Linked DNA regions of Diceros bicornis minor. The main gene of each other region encodes a partner of the protein of the gene in region 2 in a complex. Links are inferred from orthologs where the notes say so. Each region holds a gene or a part of one and is shown on either strand. Other genes may lie near its edges.

The links. Proteins that work in one complex are often made in the same cells at the same time.
Region 1: CORO2A (region 2) and GPS2 share a complex: the UniProt entries of both Homo sapiens proteins name them as parts of the N-Cor repressor complex. The link is inferred for Diceros bicornis minor from reciprocal best matches to the Homo sapiens genes CORO2A and GPS2.

What each region holds. Positions count from the first base shown.
Region 1 is NC_080757.1:10,978,615-10,982,358, forward strand, and holds the start of GPS2 (G protein pathway suppressor 2), read left to right. Parts: upstream 1-934; 5' UTR 935-1,047; intron 1,048-1,192; exon of another isoform or gene 1,193-1,258; 5' UTR 1,259-1,327; coding exon 1,328-1,421; intron 1,422-1,803; coding exon 1,804-1,913; intron 1,914-1,992; coding exon 1,993-2,105; intron 2,106-2,243; coding exon 2,244-2,323; intron 2,324-2,414; coding exon 2,415-2,497; intron 2,498-2,858; coding exon 2,859-3,012; intron 3,013-3,119; coding exon 3,120-3,209; intron 3,210-3,302; coding exon 3,303-3,382; intron 3,383-3,470; coding exon 3,471-3,566; intron 3,567-3,744. Other genes in the region: NEURL4 (neuralized-like protein 4), read left to right, coding at 4-208. UniProt on the Homo sapiens protein: Key regulator of inflammation, lipid metabolism and mitochondrion homeostasis that acts by inhibiting the activity of the ubiquitin-conjugating enzyme UBE2N/Ubc13, thereby inhibiting 'Lys-63'-linked ubiquitination.
Region 2 is NC_080767.1:8,385,973-8,389,716, forward strand, and holds the start of CORO2A (coronin-2A), read right to left. Parts: upstream 2,625-3,744; 5' UTR 2,515-2,624; exon of another isoform or gene 2,468-2,514; intron 1-2,467.

The DNA of each region.
Region 1 (3,744 bases), on a different chromosome or scaffold from region 2:
CAGATTCCGGGACCCCAAATCCCAGCGGACCCACCAGGCCCAGGTGGCGTTCCAGGTGTGTGTGCGCCCTGGCTCCTACACCCCTGGTCCCCCTTCCACTGCCCTCAGAGAATCTCCTGACCCTCACTTTACCCCAGCCGAACTTGAGTGGGTAACCAAGGAGAAGGGGGCCACACTCCTCTATGCCTTGCTGGTACGGGTGGAATGAGGGGTGAGACCTCACTACTACAAGCACAGTTGGGCCTTGGGCCTGTGGACTCTGAGTGACGACTGCCTCCAACTCATTCCAGTGACCCATGGCATGCACAGGTGCTCAGTCTGGCAAATGCACAGGAGCGTGTAGGCAGGCTCTCAGATTTAGATGGGAAGTGGAGCACATCTCCATGTCCAGGGCGCGAAACACTCCCTCTGAGGTGAGGGAGCTTGTGGGGAGCCCAGCTCCAGGCCCTGGGTAACTCCTCTTCATGCACTGATTTGGGGAACACGACTCCCTATGATTCCCTCCCCCATATCACTTAATTTATTTCCGTTTTTGTTCTTGGTTACTGTGAATCCCAGAGGAGTCTCCCTGTGCCCCACATGAAGCTGCTTTTTCCGGGGGCCACCGGGCGGGAGTGGGGAAGGGCGGGTGCAAGGCAAGATGGGGGCCCTCTGTACAGTTGTTACTGACTCTGATTTCTAAGGAGCCAATAAACACCGTCTCAAAGCACCCGCCTCCGCCTCTCTCTCGCGTGCCCCTCGGAGGATCCCCTGCCCGCTGGGGCTGTCCCCGCTGTGCCCGGCCCCGCCAAATTAGAGGCCCCGCCCGCAAGTCCAGAGCCCGCTTGGGGCGCCCCGCGGCTGGCGCGCGGCCAGGAGCAGCGCCGGCTGAGGCGCAGCGACGGGGTTTGGACGCGACGGGCACCCGTCGCAGGCGCTTCCGCTTTTCCCTCTCCGCCCCACCCGCGAGGCCGGCTGCTGCCCTGACTCCGGAAGGACTCGGGCCAGTTGCCGGATGTGACGCAGCGGCCAAGGCGCGCAGGAGGCCGCGGAGAAAGCAAAGAGAAGGCGGGTAGGGAGGGGCCGGCGCCCGGGGCTGGCGGGGCAGTGGGCGGGGAGCGCCGCGGCCGGAGACTCGGGCCCCGCCCGCGCACGCGGTGGAGCCGCGGCTGTCTTCCGGGCCGGGCTGGGCGGCGGGCGCCGGACACGTGACCGGGGCGGCGGGCGGGCTTCCGCCTGGGCCGGGTGCGGTCCCTTCTGAGCGCCCGTCTGCCCTCAGGCCCGGTCCGAGGTCTGGCAGTCAGTGACAGAGTCGGGCACCCACAGCCCGAGCGCCCCCGGCGGCACCATGCCTGCGCTCTTGGAGCGCCCCAAGCTTTCCAACGCCATGGCCAGGGCGTTGCACCGGCACATCATGATGGAGCGGGAGCGCAAGCGCCAGGGTGAGCCGGGGCAAAAGCGGGTAGACACACGGCCCAGGGCGGTACCGCTACCCCAGGGCTGACTCCGACCCACGGGCCGACCAATGCGCTGGCCGTCGAAGTTAGAGGAGGGAAGGAACAGCCCCGTTGTGGTGGGAGTTGGAGACCAGGTCTAAACTCCAGAACCCTTGAGCTGGGAAGGACCTTGGAGAGCACCTAGAAAAACCTCCCTCTCTCTGTCCCCTGTTGCGTTGATGGGGAAGCCTGTCCCCTCAAGAGGGAAAGAGCCCTTACTAAGAGCATAAAGAAGTATTGGGATAACCAGTTTTTGCTGTTCTTCAATCTCTAACGTTATATTTTAACCACACTGCAACTTGCTCATTCTGCCTGACTCTTTCTCCAGAGGAAGAAGAAGTGGACAAGATGATGGAACAGAAAATGAAGGAAGAGCAGGAGAGAAGGAAGAAAAAGGAGATGGAAGAGAGAATGTCACTAGAGGAGACAAAGGAACAAGTAAGCAGTCCCTTGCTCTCTCCCAGTTCTTCCTTCCCTTAGCTCTCCTGCCTTCATCTTCTCTCCCCTCCCTTCCCAGATCCTGAAGTTGCAGGAGAAGCTTTTGGCCCTACAGGAAGAGAAGCACCAGCTTTTTCTGCAGCTCAAGAAAGTTTTACATGAGGAAGAAAAACGAAGGCGCAAGGAGCAGAGGTGGGATTGGAGAGCTAAAAATAAATAAATAAAATTGGGGGCAAAGTGTAACTGGGATCAGGTAACAAAAGGTCCCTGTTTAATAATGAAAGAGGGAGGACTTGTCTTTGATTTTGACCAGCCTTCCTTTCACTCCAGTGACCTGACCACTCTGACATCAGCTGCGTACCAGCAGGGCCTGACTGTCCACACAGGAACTCACCTCCTCAGCATGCAGGGTGAGGAGTACAGAAACCACTTGTCAGAATGGGCCCTCCTGGGGGTTGCAGCCCCCCATTTCAGCATCATGAAGCCCCTCTCCCTCTCTAGGGAGCCCTGGAGGACACAATCGCCCAGGCACCCTCATGGCAGCTGACAGAGCCAAACAGATGTTTGGACCCCAAGTGCTTACGGTAAGAGGAGGATTGGGTGTCTAGCCTGTTGTTTTTCCCTACTTCCACCCAGACCCAGGCATCCTCCCTGGACCAGTACAGTCATGCGTTGCTTAACGACAGGGATATGTTCTGAGAAACATAATGGAGTGTACTAACACAAACCTAGATAGTATAGCCTACTACACACCTAGGCTGTATGGTGGTGATCTTATGGGACCATCGTCGTATATGTGGTCCATTGTTGACCGAAACGTCGTTATGCAGTACATGAATGTATCAAACACTTAACTGTATAGGGAAAAACGGGGCATACACAAGTCCCTGGAGTTTCTGCTTTCAAGGAGTTTACAGGTAGTGAGTTCTCATCCTCTCTCCTTAGACCCGGCACTATGTGGGCTCAGCAGCTGCTTTCGCAGGGACCCCAGAGCACGGGCAATTCCAAGGTAGCCCAGGCGGCGCCTATGGGACTGCTCAGCCCCCACCTCACTATGGACCCACACAGCCTGCCTATAGTCCTAGTCAGCAGCTCAGAGGTGAGTGGTGGGAAAGAGGGAGGGGGGCTTTTCTCAAGGCCCAGAGGGAGGAGTGTCAGAATCAGGCTAAAGAAGGTTCTAATGGCTGTGCCTCTTGCCTTTCTCAGCACCTTCAGCATTTCCTGCAGTGCAGTACCTGTCTCAGCCACAGCCACAGCCCTATGCCGTGCACAGCCACTTCCAGCCCACCCAGACAGGTGATAACACCCCACGCAGGGACCCCAGTTCTGAGTCCTCCCTTTTTCTTTCCCGTTGTCTACTCATTTCACACACTGCTTTTCCCCACCTAGGGTTCCTCCAGCCTGGCAGTGCCTTGTCCTTGCAAAAGCAGATGGAACACGCTAACCAGCAGACTGGCTTCTCTGATTCAGTGAGTATGGAGCCTTGGGAGGTCAGGGTAAAGGGTTACAGTAAGGGGACCCCCAGGCTGCCTCTGATTCTAACTCTCTTCTCTGCAGTCCTCCCTGCGTCCCATGCACCCCCAAGCTCTACATCCAGCCCCTGGACTCCTTGCCTCCCCCCAGCTCCCTGTGCAGATGCAACCAGCAGGAAAGGTAAGGATTGGTAACCAAACCTGTCAGAACCCCTACACTACCAGGGAAAATAGAATTGGGTAGGACAGGTAGCCCACACCCCTGCTTTTTCCTTCCTCCTTGGGGGTGGTTGTCAGTAAGGGTATGAAGAAAGGAGAATATGCATACTGACAAAGCCCTCCTTTCATCGCCACCACCA
Region 2 (3,744 bases):
CTACAAGACAAGTTCTTATAAAGAACAGCATTATACTCGTCTCTCTCTATATACCTACTTCTTCAGGGTAAAGTCCTCACAGGAGAAGGCTGGGGGCGAAGGGCAGTTAGGGTCATTTTCACGGACTTTTGTAACAAGCTACCAGATTGCCCTGCAAAATTACATGCCACCAGAGAATCCCTACAGCTTTGCCAGCACAGAGGTTTATCTTTTTCTATTTATTTTTGCTAATTTTATAGGAATAAACACAGACTGCTTTTGTTTACTATGTGGTATGTGTTTTCAAACACACACACACTCTGGTTGTGGAATCAGGATCCTTAGGCTTGGCTGCTGGTTTACTGTGACCTTTGACAAGTCACATCTCCTCTGGGGATAGGGGAGGCCTATCTGTAAAAGGGGGGTTGGATGAGATAACTTCTTAAGATCCCTTTCAGCTTGGACATTCCATAATTCCATGGTGCATTTTCAAATTATTAGCATAGCATGATAATTTTTTTTTTTTATGAGGAAGATTGGCCCTGAGCTAACATCTGTGCCCATCTTCCTCTATTTTGTATATGGGACGCCACCACAGCATGGCTTGACGAGTGGTGCGTAGGTCCACGCTCCGGATCCGAACCTGTGAACCCCGGGCCACCAAAGCGGAGCATGTGCACTTAACCACTACGCCACCGGGCCAGGCTGGCCCCACATGATAATTTTTAATAACTAGAATCTGCCATGCCCCTAAATCAGGCCCAAAAGGCTTAGACCAGTCGAGCAAGAAAACAGGGCCCTGATGATACACACGTAGATAGGATGGGAGACTTAGGTAGCACTTAAGCCTGTGTGTCGTCTCTATGCTTGAGTGAGAGCACATATACTTAGTCTGCTTTTACGAGGGGATGATAACATTCATCTGTGGTCCACTCCGAGTTCTGCGCAGCTCCACCATGGCCAGAAGGCAAGGTCGTGGTCACTCTGCTTCAACCCTAGACTCCCAGACTTGTAGTCAAAGGCAGCTCATCCCCAGCAAGTGCTCATCCAGCCTCTACTTGCATACCTCCAAGGACACAGAGCTCACCACTGCTCAGGAGGTCTCTCCCTTCTTTTGACTGTAAGAAAGCTCCTGAGTGAGGAATAGGTCATGAGGGGTACAAGGGAGACCAGAAGGCCCAGACTCAATTCTCAGAAACTAGTCCCTCAGTCAGGGCAGGCAGCAGGAGAAGACAGGCAGAGGATCTGGGGCAGGGAGGCTGGAGAGGGCTCCTCTGGCTCCTCCCCTCCCTCCAGACCCCGAAGGCAGCTGCTAACCCAAAGGTGTGCAGGAAGTGCAGGAAGCACAGGGGACACAGTCCAGTCCTGATGAAGGCCGCTCCTGAACAAGCCCCACGCTGACCACTGCTCGCTCTTGGGGCAGACACCCACCTCCCTGTCTTGCCTTTGCTCCCTTTGGCTCTGGCAGGAGAAACAGTGCCAGGCCTGGGGCTGTTTAGCTGGAGGAGGTGAGCAGATTTAAGGGACCAGATGATGGCCCAGGAGAGGAGGGGTCAGATGTTGTCTCTGTGCCCAGAGCAGGACCAGCAGATTCCAGCTCTGTTTATAGCTAGTGAGATCCCCATCACAAGGGACATGCAAGACCTTCCAGAGGGGATCTTACTGAGGGGCTGGGCCAGATGCCAGAGGTCTTCTTTACCCAGAGAGCCTGGATCCACAGTCCCTCAGACATGTGCTCTGTCTCAGACCCAACTGCACCTAGACACAGCTTTCTTGGCACTGTGGCCCCTCTGGGGTCCACACACGGATGTGAGCCAGCGCTATCACACCCGGCTGGGACACAGAGCTGGGCACCAGCACCTGACCAGGCAGAGAAGAGGAAGGGGACATCCCATACCATTCCCTAAATCCAGGTTGCCTGCATGGGTCCGGTCCAGGCAAGTCTGCGGCTGAGAGGCCCACCGCCTCCAAACCAAGGTTCCCCCAGCCCCAGACCGCGAGGCAGACTTGGCGCGCAGACTCGGACCGCCCCGCCCTGCATGCCCAGGCCGGCTCGCCAGGGACCTGGGGTGTCCCCCGCTTCCCGTTTCCCCTACTCGCCCAGCAAGTCACCCAGCTAAGACGGGGAGAGTCCCAGCACGGGTCCCGCGGGGCATCCCCCACAGGAGGCCTGTCGGGACCGGCTCGCCACACCCAGGGTGAGCGGCCCTCACTGCGGGTGGGCTGTGCAGACAGTGCCTATCCGGGCTCCGAGACGTCGGGAGCCTGGAGCTCGGGGCGGCCTCTCCCAACAGCCCGGCGAGGAAGGGGCCATCACTGCGCCCGCTATCCCGACGGGGAAACTGAGGCCTGGAGAGGAGCAGTGCTTTGTGCAAGGTCACGCGGAGGGGCTGGAAGCCAGGTGCCCCGCGCCCCGCCGGGTCTCCGCGGCGCGCCGAGCCCCAGCATCCCTCCCCGGGCGCTGCAGCCCGCCGCGCGGCGCGCCCACCTCGCGCAGGCCGGGAAGGCGCGGCCGGCGGCGCGGGGCCGCCCTACCTTGACGACGGCCGCGCAGGTGGCGGTGGCGGCGGCGGCGTCCGGCTCCGGCTCCGCGCTCCTCGCCGCCCGCCGAGTCCCCGCGCCCAGCGCCGCCGCCTCCGCGGCAGCCCGGCGGGCGGGGCCGGGGGGCGGGCCAGGGGCCCGGCACAAGCCCCGCCCGCGCGCCCCGCGAGTCCGCGGGGCCACCCCTCCTTCCCTACCCGCCCCCCCCGACCGCGCCGCTGGCCCCGGAGCTGGTCTCGGGGCGCGCACACGCGCACAGCGCCGGCGCGCACACGCCGCAGTGACCGGGGCCGGCTGCGCGGCGACCGAGCGGAGGCTGGGGACGGCCAGAGCCGCCCGCCCGCACGTCCGCCGCTCCCTCGCTGCGTGGCGTGGGGCGGGGGACTCGACCTCCCGGAGCCTCAGTTTCCCCCTGGGTGAAATGGAAACAGTAACCGTGTCTGCCTCCGAGGGCTGTTCGAGAATTAGATGGGAAGGTGTCGTTTACCGGCCCGTGTGAGCGGGCACGCAGAGCCCGCCACAGGAGGAGCGCTCGGAAACCCGGAGGGCAGAGGGATTCCGGAGGCCGCCCAGTCGGCCCCGAGGAACGGGGCGGGGCTGGCCGCCGCAGTGTGCGGAGGACTCCCTTCCTTCTCTCGGCAGCCAGGAGGGGGCGCTGCTGCCCACTCTTGGCTGTGAGGTCCTGAGCATCCTAGGCAATGCGGAGGAGATGGGGAGGCCCAGCGTTTTCACGTACCACTGGCCAACACCTCCTGAGCCAGGCAGTTTCAGGCACCTTAAATGCATTACCTCACTTCACCGTCACACAAGCCTATGAGGTTACACTAATACTTATCTGTTTTACACATAAGGAAGCTAAGGCACAGAGAGGTTAAGGACTTCACTTAAGATCACACAGCCAGTAATTCAACCCTAGGCAGTGTGGCTCTGAAGCCTGAGCTCATAGCCACTCCACCGCACTCTCTCTCTTGAGAAGTGTATTTCACTTAGCCACTAGTATTAGCCCATTTTACACATAAGAAAATTGAGACTTAGAGTGGCTTTGAACTTGGGAGCTCTTGATTATCTCCTTAGAAAGAACAGCGGGGGCCAAAGGCTGCGACTCAGTGTTCACTGTTCACTGGGCCCCTCCCCTGCCTGGAGCTGGATGGACTCCCCGCCCACCGTCCAAAGCCCAGCCCCTCGGTATGGCCCTCAAAACCTCTGCCCTGCGGCCGACCCAGG